Linked DNA regions of Mus musculus: regions 1 and 2 are each reported to be linked to region 3. The links are microRNA targets in miRTarBase. Many come from high-throughput screens and were not tested one by one. Region 3 holds a microRNA gene; each other region holds the end of a gene's coding sequence.
The links. Region 3 holds the annotated microRNA mmu-miR-214-3p (ACAGCAGGCACAGACAGGCAGU, at 2,737-2,758, opposite strand). A microRNA usually pairs through its seed, bases 2 to 8, with sites in the 3' UTR of a target mRNA and lowers its output. Matches are read on the target gene's strand: a 7mer-m8 pairs with bases 2 to 8, a 7mer-A1 pairs with bases 2 to 7 and ends in A, and an 8mer does both.

Region 1: the mRNA of C330007P06Rik is a reported target of mmu-miR-214-3p. Seed matches in the 3' UTR shown: 7mer-A1 at 3,500-3,506.
Region 2: the mRNA of Pkn3 is a reported target of mmu-miR-214-3p. Seed matches in the 3' UTR shown: 7mer-m8 at 467-473.

The regions. Positions count from the first base shown.
Region 1 is chrX:36,847,262-36,851,503 of GRCm38, forward strand. It overlaps C330007P06Rik (RIKEN cDNA C330007P06 gene), which reads right to left. Exons shown (of 7, transcript NM_029951.1): 7 at 1,282-3,901. The coding sequence ends at 3,839. Among named protein-coding and RNA genes, the nearest start is that of C330007P06Rik, 15 kb to the right of the region's middle.
Region 2 is chr2:30,090,407-30,094,646 of GRCm38, forward strand. It overlaps Pkn3 (protein kinase N3), which reads left to right. Exons shown (of 22, transcript NM_153805.2): 21 at 1-5; 22 at 117-613. The coding sequence ends at 329. Zdhhc12 (zinc finger, DHHC domain containing 12) reads right to left here and starts at 3,229. Exons shown (of 5, transcript NM_001037762.1): 1 at 3,083-3,229; 2 at 1,999-2,135; 3 at 1,582-1,659; 4 at 1,261-1,427; 5 at 538-1,160. The coding sequence starts at 3,182. The coding sequence ends at 839.
Region 3 is chr1:162,221,954-162,226,195 of GRCm38, reverse strand. It overlaps Mir214 (microRNA 214), which reads right to left and starts at 2,828; the gene lies at 2,719-2,828. The region is part of intron 14 of Dnm3 (dynamin 3); the gene reads left to right. Dnm3os (dynamin 3, opposite strand) reads right to left here. Exons shown (of 1, transcript NR_002870.2): 1 at 646-4,242.

The DNA of each region.
Region 1 (4,242 bases), not on the chromosome of region 3:
AGACACAAAGAAAGGAGTGGTCAATGTATGCATGGTTTCAGATTTAGAAGATGGAAAGTTCTACAGATGTGTGTCACAAGGATGCAAATGAATACTACTGAACTGAGTAATTAAAAATGGGTTCGAGGGTCAGGCATGGTGGCACATGGCTTTAATCCTAGGAGGCTGGTGGGTCTCTGAGTTTGAGGCCATTCTAGTCTACATAGTAAGTTTCAGGACAACCAGAGCTCCATAGTGAGACCCCATCTCACACAAATAACAATAATAATAATAATAGAGAAACTGGACAGTAGCCCAAGTCTATAGTAGCAGCAGGCAGGAGGGTTCAAAGTCATTGCTGGGGAATATAGCTCAGTGGTAGAGCTTGACCAGCAGATACTAGATACTACATTCAATTTTTGCTAGCAGAAAAAAAACCCAAAAACAAACAAAAAACCCTCTAAAAATCCCACAGTCATTAGGTCTAGGGTGCATTGAAAATACCTTCTGGAGCTGGAGAGATGGCTCAGTGGTTAAGAGCACTGACTGCTCTTCTGGAGGTCCTGAGTTCAATCCCCAGCAACCATATGGTGGCTCACAACCATCCATAATGAGATCTGATGCTCTCTTCTGGTGTGTCTTTATTATTATGTGTCCTTACATATAATAAATAAATAAATCTTTTTTTTTTTTAAAAAAAGAAAGAAAATACTTTCCTGTTTCCAAAAACTAAAGATAGGAGCTAGAGAGATTGTTTAGTGTTAAAAGCACATTTGCTTTCCATTCCCAGTACCCACCCATAGCTCCAATTCCAGGGATCTCAATGCCTTCTTCTGACCTTTGTAGGCACCAGGCACATGTGCAACACACATACATATATGCAGGCAAAATGCTCATTCACATAAAATACTTAAAAGATCCTAAAAACACCCCATTAAAACTAAAACCCACTAAGTATGGAATCCCAGCATTCAGGAGGTAGAGACAGAAGATCTGGAATTCACCGTCAAACTCAGGCAGGCAGAGAATCTGAAGTCAGCCTGGGCACTGTGAGATTCCATTTCAAAAAACTAAAATGAAAATTAAGAGCCAGTAGCTACACGGGACCCCACCTCAAAACAAAAATATGCCTAAGATAATAACCTTTAAAAAAAACTGTAATAAAAGTAGTATGTTCAACATCATCTGTCATTAGGAATTGAAATGAAAGTCAGTTGATACCTATAAGAAACACACAAATCAGGAGACTAAGGAAATATGGTTCACAGCAATATGAATCTTAAAATGATCAAAACAAGCTAGTTTAGTTCATTCCATTCTGTTATTTATTTTATTTCATTTTGAAGAGAGTTTTGCTTGGTATGACACTCAGAACTATTCATACATGTCAGCACCCCCAACAAAACAGGTTAGCTTTTAAAAAGCCTTTTAATTTTTCTTAAGTGATAGTTACAATGCCAAATGTCACCAACTATTAGAGTAAGAATATTTTATAACATTTTCATAATTTTCTCACAGCTGATCACTTGCAGACTTATGACTTTCCCAAATGTCAATATGGCTCTTTTTATTAATATTAAAACACATTTGCTAAAAAAAAATCACTGGAAGTTAATAAAGAATAGAGAAAGTACATCTTGTTCTAATAACTTCTGGTAGAAAGTAAAATATAATGAGAAGTATGTACTTACTTGCTACTAATGACGTAATATTTCATTATTGTTAGAAGCAGTAAAATGTGTAACTTGTGTCAGATATTCAAATGGTTAGAGCGAGTTATTTCATAAAATATGTACAAGCATAACTACAGAATTGCTTTAGGGAGTTCTCTAGCTTAATATTTTTACATTGCAATTCAGTGGTTTTTTTTTTTTTTTTCAAAATGAAATTATGTTCTAATCGAATGATACAAAATTCCATAGAAGCAGCAGTTCAGCATAGGAAAGAGCTTGAGTTTTCAAGTCAGTCTTCTGGCTTTACCAAAGGCTAGTGGATCTTGGGAAAGGAAAATTCCGAGTTTCCGAGTGCTTTGTAAAACAGTGATGGCAACAGTTAACTTATCTCCTAGGAGGTGCTAAGCGTGAGCTCATACCTCTAAAGTGCTTTCTCCAACCAAGTACTCAATGGAGACTAATGAGTATTAATGTTACTGTTACGACAATTATGTTTCATTATTATTAGCAAAATAATCACCCCTCAAATCGAAAGTCACACCTAAAAAGGTCTAAAAGGATGGGAGCTTGTGAGACTAGAAACAGCTACAGGCTGTGGCCAGAGAATAGAAGCCTGAATTTCTATGGTGGTCTGTGTATATCCAAGCTGTACACATAAGAATTTGGGGATAAAGTGGCGGAAAGGTAGAGGTCATTGCCTGGACATATTTGACCATTCACAAATGTTAATTTTAATTCTGTCTCACAACTAGGACAGAAAATGAGGTGAAGACTTAGCTATAGGAAGACCCTGCTGTCTACAGAATAACTGGGAAGGTGGTAACATAGCCCCATTCTTCCAATTCCCAGGATCGCTAACCCACATCAGTCCAGTCATTGCTAGCTCAACTGTACCTCTCCTCTAAGTGGCTTTCCCCCGCAGAAACAGAAATCAGAAAAAAGGCGAAGAAAACTATTTCCTGGCAACACCTCACCAACAAGCCTTGAGTATTTAAAAAGTGCAATCCATCATAGATAGCACGAGGAAGACAACACATTCAGTGTCTCCTTGGGCCTTGCAAGACAGGCAAACAGAGAACTATATGGAAGAATCACATGGATGCTGACATAATTGAAGGAGAATGACACATTTCAGACGCTCTTCAGCAAAGAGCAAACATAAAACAAGATGCCCAACAACAGATAAGCTCCTCTCACTATGCCCCCTTCTGTGTACTCATAGAGTATTCTCCCAGCTGACTGACTAACTCCTTTGGGTTACTTAGCAAGGCCATATTTAAATCCGACCTGAGCCATCCTAGCCCTGCATCTGTGATCTGGCTTTCCTGTTTGTTTGTTTTTTGTTTTGGTGCTGGGGCTGTCCTCACACATGCCTAGCATGCATTCCACTACTGAGCTACACCCCCAGCCACATGGCTTTTCCTTCTTTTATTCTGAAGTCTGACATAGCATGGTTCACCTAGAATTCTAAGATTTTGAGTAAGGAAGTATTTCTGCAGGTTTGGTGTTTCTAACTGATCTCTACTGATAGGAGAAAGATTCAAACCATAGACCATAGTCAATTCTAAGAACAGTTCAAAGATCAGAGACAGTGTTTCTTAAAAGGATCTACCTGGCTGTATTTTAAACTTAATTTTGGTCACCTTCCTCTCATACCATATTTAAAAAAAAAAACAACAAAAAAAACCTTTAAAAACTGCAATAACTTTGAAGAAGAAAAGACATCTATGTCAGACACTAGAGAAAGTCAAATGCTTACTAGTACTAGCTACATTGCAAAAGAAGTATACGTCAAAAGAAAAGAGGACTGCTACAGAAGCCAGGTGTGGTGGTGTGGTCCTGGAACTTCAGCAGAGAGAGAGAGAGAGAGAGAGAGAGAGAGAGAGAGAGACTAAGACAGGAGAGGAGGCTCACAAAGTTCAAGGCCATACTCTGGTATGTAACAAGACCTGATCTCAAAGACAAGAAAGACAGAAAACATATATACAGAGATTTTACAAACAATCTACCTCCTAGAAAGCAAGTGAAATGGAGTCAAGGACTTCAATGGAAGAAAAGAAAAAGTGTCAGAAAACCAATAGGATGGTCAGAAAACCCTTCTGGGAGAAACAGAAACGAAAACACATCTTGAAGCTACTCTTCCTCATCTAACTGCTGCCTCCAGTCTGAACCCAGAAAGATCTTGATTATTTGAACTGATTGTCGATCAGGGTCCCCTTCATTTTTGCTTTCTTGGCTTCCAATTCAGCCTGGAAAGAAAAAAAAGTAGGCCCTGATATATCACAATCACATGACACTCTTAACATTTCTTGTTTACTCTAACTGTTCACGCTCCCTTCCTGCTCAGTGTACATGCCAAAAATGGTTTTAGAATCCTTACTCATCAACTTAAAGCCTGGCTCCTAAAACCTAGATTTAAAATCCTATGTGTATGCGTGTAGGGCATGAGTCTAGAAAGAAGGTCATGAAGGGGGAAAAGGACTAATGGAATACATGTGATGAGAAAGCAAAAGAGGAAGCAGAGTGTGTCCTGTAATCACAGGACTAGGGCGCTGGCGGCAGGAGGATCAAGAGTTCAAAGCCAGCTTTG
Region 2 (4,240 bases), not on the chromosome of region 3:
TCAGGGTAATTACGAAGCCAGAACCCAGCAGTCCCCATTTCCTGGGGAGGTGGGGAGGCTGGGGGGCCTCTGGGGTCTGCGGTTCCCACATTCTTATATTCCTGTACCTTGTTCAGACCACCAACTGGCAGGCCTTGCTGGCCCGCACCGTCCAGCCTCCCTTCGTGCCTACTCTCTGTGGCCCTGCAGACCTTCGTTACTTCGAGGGAGAGTTCACCAGCCTGCCTCCAACCCTGACCCCACCAGTCTCCCAGAGCTCCCTCACTGCTCGCCAACAGGCTGCCTTCCGGGACTTTGACTTCGTGTCTGAGCAGTTCCTGGAGTCCTGAGGGTCTCCTGGCACTTCAGCCAGACTGCAGGAAGCCTCCACGTAACCATGTGCCTGGGCCGAAGTATTTAATGAGTGTGTGGGAGTCCAGGCAGTGGCCGTCCGTGGGGCTGCCGTTGCAGGCTTTTCCTTCGTGTCCCTGCTGTGTCTATAACTCTGTCCTTCTATTTCTCGGTAGACCCCAGACCAGGAAAGAGTCCACGGCAGCATGGGTGGCTTTTCTTTTTAATACTTGACTTTATATAGAGCATTAAATTAATAAAACTGTACACTCGAGGTAGCCAGGCCAGGGGTTGTGTAGTGTCTAGGTTCTCTTTTAACACCCCTCCCCCAACTTATTTCCTTTTCTTCTATGTCTTCCTTTAGGGGTGGCAGGGGGGGTTCTGTCTACTTCTCTCCTGAGGGCTGGAAGCCCTAGGAAGACGTAAAGGCCTTAGGCTGAGTGGGCTGATCCCTAGCTGGCACAGCCTCTGGCTTTTAGGCACAACAGCAGCCTTCTCTCCAGCAACCCTAGACAACCTGGCTGCTGCCTTCTTCCTCTTCCTCAGCCGAGAGAGTCTCCCAGGGCCCAGAGGGCCAACCACAGAAAAAGTGGGCCAGGTTTCGAGTCGGCCCTCGGTCAAAGGGGTTGCTGGTGCGCTGGCGGAGGTAGGCGATTCGGTGTGAAGATATGAACTCCCAGGTAGTCGTGTTCCTGGCTACCAGGTAGAGGTGGGAGGCCAGGAGCAGGGCAACCACTAACGCGAAGAAGGAGAGCAGCAGGAAGGTGGTGAACAGGAGCCCAGTGGACCGGAGCCACAGCCCCCAGGGCTGGAAGAACTGAAGGCCAGACCTAGAGGATGGAGAGCTAGGGCTGGGCACTGCAGGGTCCCAGTGACTCCTGTTCCCTGAGTACCTGTGTGCATGCTGTCTGTGCTCCCCCAGGTACCTACCATGCCAGGCACAGGCCCCACAGCAGAACTACCAGCTGCAGTGCCAGGTAGGCCACAAAGAGCGGGTGGTTGCGTTCACCCACACAGTTCTCCATCCAGGGACAGTGGTGATCATAGCGCCGAACACAGCGGCGGCAATCACGACAGTGCCGGGCACGCAGGGGCTGCTGTGGGTACAGAGCGCAGTTTAGGCTTAGTGCTGCCTCCCCCGTGAGTCCTCCTTTGGGGAGAATGCTCAAGGCCATAGTCAGGTCCTAAATTTGGGAGGCAGGGTTAAGGATGGCCTGACTGCCCCCACAAGAGTATGTGTGTATCACCTACCAGCACCAGACAGTGTCTGCAGCGCCGGAGTGGGACGGCCTGAGGAACCATGGCTGCCTGTTCCTCCTTGGGCTCGCCCTGAAAACGAAACAAAGATTATGAGATTGGGGGTTCTCCTACCTTGGGAGGCAGACGATGCTGGGGCCATCTCTCTAGGTGCCACCGGTCCCCATTGTGCAGGACTTGGGGCCCATCTCATGTAGAGGGGACGCATGCACATGGCAGCATACTAGACGTCTGGTGACCTTTGTAAGACAGTTGTCCCCACATGGGTCTTGGGTGATGTCATCATTGTAGGAGCAAAAACACAGGGGTAGGCAAGAGGCTTCATCAAGATGCCCCCACACTGAGTGCAGCTCAGGGCTCAGCATTGAGGTCTCACTCCCCTGTTGGCCTTCGAGGTCCCTGCTTGCTTACCTGAGGCTGGGGCTGAGTAGTCACATAGCCGGGGTCCATGAGTGACACAGCCAGATAAAGCAGCAGGGAGCTTAGCACCAGGAGCAGGAATGTGAGGGGCAGGAGCAGCTCCCCTTGCTCTTCCCATTGGCGTAGCTCTGGGGAGGCCAGAGGACAGTGAGAACCATAGCAAAAGGGAAGGGCAGGAGGCGGTGGGGGTAGAAAGAAAGTAGCTGGAGGTGATATGGAGGCTAGACCTGAGGGAGGCAGGAGGAAGGGGGCTCCCCAGGGGAAGAGTCAGCCCTGGAAGAGGGTGGAGCCAGCCAGGAGCTCCAGCTAGGAAGGTGCCAGCCAGCCTGTTTAAGCCCATGGCAGTGAAGGAGGATTATGGAGAGGAGGGAGGGCTAAGAAGTGATGGACGTGGTGACACCAGACAGCTGAGCGTAGGCAACTCTGGTACCCTTGGGTGAAAGAGAGCCAAGGAGGTTTTGAAGGTGGCTGACTCCTGGTGTGGAAGCCTGAGGACAAAGGGCAAAAGCGATGGAGGAGGGCTACAGAGGAAGCCTCTGGTGGGCTCTGTTCCTTCTGGAAGGGAAACCTAGGAGGGGGCAGGAAGGGGGTGAAGGGAATGATGGGGAAAGGAGATGCTACCAGGCGAAGGTGGGAAACCTGCTCCTCGCTATAGTGGCGTCCCTTGGGGTAGTTAGTCGGCTCATAGGATTTGGGGAGTGGACCGGAAAGCCAAGTCCTTAAGTCTAGCGGATTTCTTAATCTTATTTAGGGAGGGGTTGGGAGGCAATTTCTGGGAAGGACAGGTAGAGCCCAGGGATGGGAGAGATGGGGCCTCTAGTTGGTCCTCTGATGGGCTCTGGTGGTCTTTGGATGGATGGACATCTATCGATGACAGAAAATTACTGGGATTAATTAGGGTCCAACTTGGGAATCAGGCGGAGAGAGGATGATCCCCGGACCGACATAGGAGAAAGACGCTTGAGGAACTGGTGGGAGATAGAAATGGAGATTTCAATGTGTCTGAGGATTAGGGGGACCCCGGTATACCCACGCGTGATCGGGTGGGCTCGGGGTGGCGCGGTGTCCGGCTCACCGGTGTCGTGCAGGAAGAGCACCAGAGTGATTCCCCAGGTCAGCACGGTGTGCCCAGTCCGCACCAGCATCCCAGAGTTAAGCGGCGGCCAAAGAGCCATGGCCTTGGCCCCCGCCCGAGCCCACCCGGAAGAAGCGCGCAGAAGGTGGGGCCGCGGGGCAGCGGGGCTGCAGCAACGCGGGGATTGGTGGCTCTGCATTAGAGGCGGGGCACGGGCGGCTCAGGGAGGCTGTCTATTGGGTGCCACCGGCGGCCCCTCAGGCCAACAGGTGCCCGAGGAGGCTGAAGGCGGGGCCCGCGCGCGCACAGCCTACAACTCCCTAACTCCGCCTCCTGTGGGCCAGGTAACTTTGCAAAACCCGGGAGGCGGAAGCCTCCGAAGACAACCCCACCCCCGCATGCGCATGCGTGCCCATCTTTGATCCCCGGAGGCCACGCGGAGCTTGCTCCCAAGGGGCGATGGGCCGGGCTTGCAGGAGGGCACGCCTTGATGACACACTTTCCTCTTATTCGTTTTCTGATTTTGCAAACGGATGATGGGAAAAAGGAGGGTTCTGGTGCGGAGTCTGGACACGCATGGCCCAGCTTGGAGTCAGAGAAATAATTGTCCGGCCTATGACTCTCGAGGCAAGTTACTGAGCTTCTTTAGGCTACTTTCTGCCTCTTCAATGGGGTTGGTAATAGTACCCGCGTCTTAGACAGGTATTTGTCTCCCCTGCTACCACCACGGCCCAACCAGACTGACTTTCTCTCCTTGTGTTCCTTGAACCTCCCCCATTCAGCTGACTTCCACCTGATGACCCTCTTCTAGCCCAAAGCCCAGTGTGCATGCTCTTGGGATTTGTTTTGGTCAAATAGACATCCCTTTTTCTGAAGAACTGACTTCCTATGGCCAGGGTGGTTATGGAAGGATTGGTTGTCCATCGTGTGTGCGCGCGCACGCACCCGCGCGAGTGTGTATTGGGGGACGGGGGGACGGGGGGCGGTTAGGGCCAATCATACTATTCCATATGAGATTAAACAGAGGCTGGGGATTAACACAATTGGTAGACTGTCTAGCAAGCACTAAAGGCTGGGTTATCGCCCCAGCATGGTATATATGATATGGTGGTACATGCCTGAAATCTCAACAAACTGGTGATAGAGGCAAGAAAATTC
Region 3 (4,242 bases):
TTAAATTAACCAAAGAGAAGGAACTGCCCCTTCATATACAGCGACGCTGGTTGCCAATTCTTATTCTACATCTGTGGCCCACCCAGCACAGAGAATGAAACAGTAACAGAAACTGGAGTCAGGGAAACGGTCTTTCCAGCGGAGCTATGCTAACCCTGCTCCACTGAAGGAAGTCAAAATCTGCATTGAAACAGGACATTCTTGGAACTCTTAAGAAATTACAGGCCTCATTTTTGTGGGCTGAAATGTTTGGATAGCTTGATAAGGAGATTATATCATTCCCTTATAGGGCTGCTTACTTAGGGCTGCTTTTATTGTGCAGCTCTCGCAGATGACAAATATAACTTTGAAAATAGGAAAGAAAGTGACAGCTGTAGGCCTGGATGTGCAAAACTAGGAGAGCAAAGTCACAGGGATGCATGGCCCAGGGATGCTGAGATCTCTGCCTTCTCACGTAGCCCTTTCTAATCGTGCCTAGCTGCAACAGGAGGAGCGGGCCCCAGTGATGGAGGAGGCCACCCAGACCACTGAATGCTCCACATTCCTTGTCAAAAATCTTTCGCTCAGCTCAGACTTGGCTATTTTCATTTTTTAAAGTCCAAATAAACACCAAACACCGACGTATATAACTTAAAAGTCTCCATCTTCATACTTGTAATTTTTATTCCTATAGAAAGTAACTTCCATTGTGCTTTTAAATATGAGGTTGATTATTTCCACATCCTGGCATTCTCCAAAGATTTATGATTTAGGAAATAAAATAAGTGTTATTTAATACACGGTAATGGCCAGTGCCATTTCAAAATTACTCAAAGTATCCTTTAACTACAAACCGACTACTACTGTTTGTTGTTTCCAAATCTAATGCTGCAAAGTCCACATTCTTTATATTACCCCTTTCCCAGAAGGATAAAATCTCAAGTGTGCCTTATTTTATGAATTTAAGGTGCATATAAGACAGTCAAGGCTTTTGAGAGCAGAGTCAGAAACGTTTTTAAGGGTATTTTTTATGATTTATGGAAAAATTATTTGATACATTATGCTGGATATCCCTGTTAACCCCCAGTTCCTTCGTGTTCTGACTGGGACACTGTGTCACCCTGAACGGGGTACATTCCTGCCCTGGAAGAATAACTCATCATGAGCGCTCTGGTAGTGTCTGCTGCAGTTCCTGTAAAGCATTTAAAGTTGGGTAGGACTATGCAAATAGCCTTATGGACAGTTTATACTTCCTGTTTATACTTCACGTTTTGTGATGTATCATTCAGCATTCTGTTGGGTGGTCATGGGAGTTTCCTCTAAGGCAAAAAGCCCTGTTAATTCCTCACGAGTTTCATAAAGGCAAAACAGATCATTTTTTGCATGGGATATAGTTTCTGTGAGTCCAGATTGTTTACATGCAAGACATTTAACTTTATTCATATTTTCATGACACAGTTTTGCCTATGACTCTTTCTTTTAAAGAAAGTATAGTGTCACATCTAGTACAAATACCATAGAATTCAGAAAATTTGGAAACTGTGAACTCTTAGCCTTAAGATTAAATCTTATATTTTAAAAATGAAAGGCCTGTGGGCAAGGCAGTTTGCTTGAGATTGTTATTTCAATCATTACAAAATAGTTTGGGGTAGCCTCAGATTATAATTTTAAAACTTGATTAGAATATAAGAAAAAGTTAAATGTGAAACATTGAAAGGTAAAATATGTTAATAAACAAGGTCAAAATAGAATAATTTTCTAAATTTACCTGTCTCTGCATGTTATCCTTATTGTTGTTTTTTTTTTTTAAATGCTCATATACAAAGCCAGCCCTGACCACTTCTCCAGTTCATGTCAGAACAGAAACTTTGATATTTCCTCAGAAATTAGGGCAAAATATGTCATGCAGGGCTATCTTTGCTTTTTTGAAATTATCAACGGGTTTGAAAAATCTTGGGTTGAGAGCTTACGTGACTGGAAACATAGATCCCAAGTAAGCAAATCAGATTTCTATATTTTATCCCTGTGACTGCACTAGAAAAGCTTTCTTAGCTAAACAGCAACATGGTAGCTAGTCTGTGTGTGCTATAGCACTCAGAAATATTGACGGTTCAATATTCTTGTTTATCCCAAGAAGAGAAACTGTTATTTGAATATGAGTGAAAAATCTACTAGGGATATTTTAAAATATCTTTTACCCAGGCCAGACTGGCAGTTTGTTAACTTGAAATACTTGATCCTTTAGAATATATTGTTACTTGTTTATTCTGTCTCTTCTCTCCATACTTCCCCTCTCTCCCCTCCCCCCCCCCCCACTTAAAAGTTACAGTACAAATAAACAATCATTTATAGACAAGACCCAGCAGAATAATTTCCTCTTCGACAAACATCCAACTGAAGCCAAATGGTTTTGTCGAATTGGTTTTCACGTCAGTGTCAGGAGGCAGCAAAGGTGTGTGCAGTGAATGTCGAGAGTGTGGTGGAGGCAGTAGGACCATGGCAGACACAGGAGCATTTTCAGAAATGGGCTTTATTAGGCTTCATAGGCACCACTCACTTTACTTCGGGTAGGTTTTAATATGCGAATCAAAAAAAATCAAAGGATTACATACGAGTTTTTCTTTTAATAAGCCAACAGTTTCAAACCCCAGGCCCCCCAACCCCCTCACTGTGGTTGTAGCTCTTGGTGTAGATGCTATGTTGTGAGGGCAGCTTTCTTTCAATGGCTGGTGGTCATTCAGGCTGGGTTGTCATGTGACTGCCTGTCTGTGCCTGCTGTACAGGTGAGCGGATGTTCTGCACAGCAAGTGTAGACAGGCAGACACATGACAACTCTGTCCAGCCAGGCCCTTGGGTCCTTCAGGTTTCCTTTGCTCAGGGACAGATACAATCAGCCTGTTTTCCAGATTTGGTGATTTAGGGGGGAAGGACAGGGGGATAAAGGGAAAGGAGAGAAACACACAATAGAATTAAACATTAAAACATTATGGAACTAAAAAGAAGTTAGACGTTTGGCTTTATTCAGAAGTACACTCATACATTTGATCCAAATGTTGCTAACAAGGATAATTGTCAAAAACAGAAAATTCACATGATTTTAAGGAAAAAAAAATAACAACATAAACTTTTAAAATCCAGTTCCTGTTGTTACTGGCCCTCATGCAGTCAGAATTCAAAGTAATCAAACCATATGTTTTTTTCTTTTCACAAGACCTCTGCATCTCTTAATAGTGAAATTAAAGTCTATGTTTATACATGTTTTTCAGAGTAGGTAAGTGCCATAGCCTTGCCCATGAAAAAATATATTGTTATCTACATGGTAACAGCAGCCATTCTCAAAATATTAATGAGCCTAAAGTGTCTGGCAATCCACCTAACAGATTTTGGATATATATATCTCTCCAAGCAACAGAAATGTATTTAAATTTTTCTTTTCTTTTTATAATATCCATATGAAAACCAAAGAGTTCATAAGCTTCTATCCCCCTTGATTAACAAGCAGGGTGAGACCATGAATCAAAGTCATGATCTAGAATGTTCTTTCCCACACTAGTGCTCTGAATGTGTTTTTGATGTTGTTAATACAATATCATTACAGAGTAGGACCTTAAACACAGAAAAGGAAAGTTCACTTCATATCCAAAATGACAATCTGAATTAATTGTGTTAAGTACACAGAAGCAAACTGCAATCCTGCTGAGTCAGGAATTCTGCTATTTTTAACATACTTAGTCAATTTGCATATGCAGAGATATTTAACAACTTCACTGTCATTTTAAACACAAAAACAGCCAAAGAGTTGAAAGTCTAAAAATTGGAATTTCTTTAAAAACAAAATACATTATTATCCAAGAGGTATACATTAGAGATTATCTTTAAAGAAAACAAATACTTCCTTATTTACCTTTAATTGGAAAACCTAAAAAGAAAAAAAAATGCAGGCAGAAGTTTTATGAACAATAAAATCTTTTTTGAGAATGAGAAAAAGAACAGTTTGCTGCACATTTGAACTTTTGTGCAGTGCCTAGAGATGGTATCCTTTTAACCGAGTTGATAAGTGCAACTATATCTGGACTTCTTTAAGTTCAAGAAGATAAACGTGTGCTTCTGTCCAACACTTCAGAGCACAAGAGCTTGGCTGCTATTCAAGTAGTTACAAAGTCAAGTATACAAAAATGGAATACCTTGAAATACTATTTCCTTTGTTGTTTCATTCAGTACAACAGAAAAGCATAATAGAGTGATTCACTTACGAAGAATATA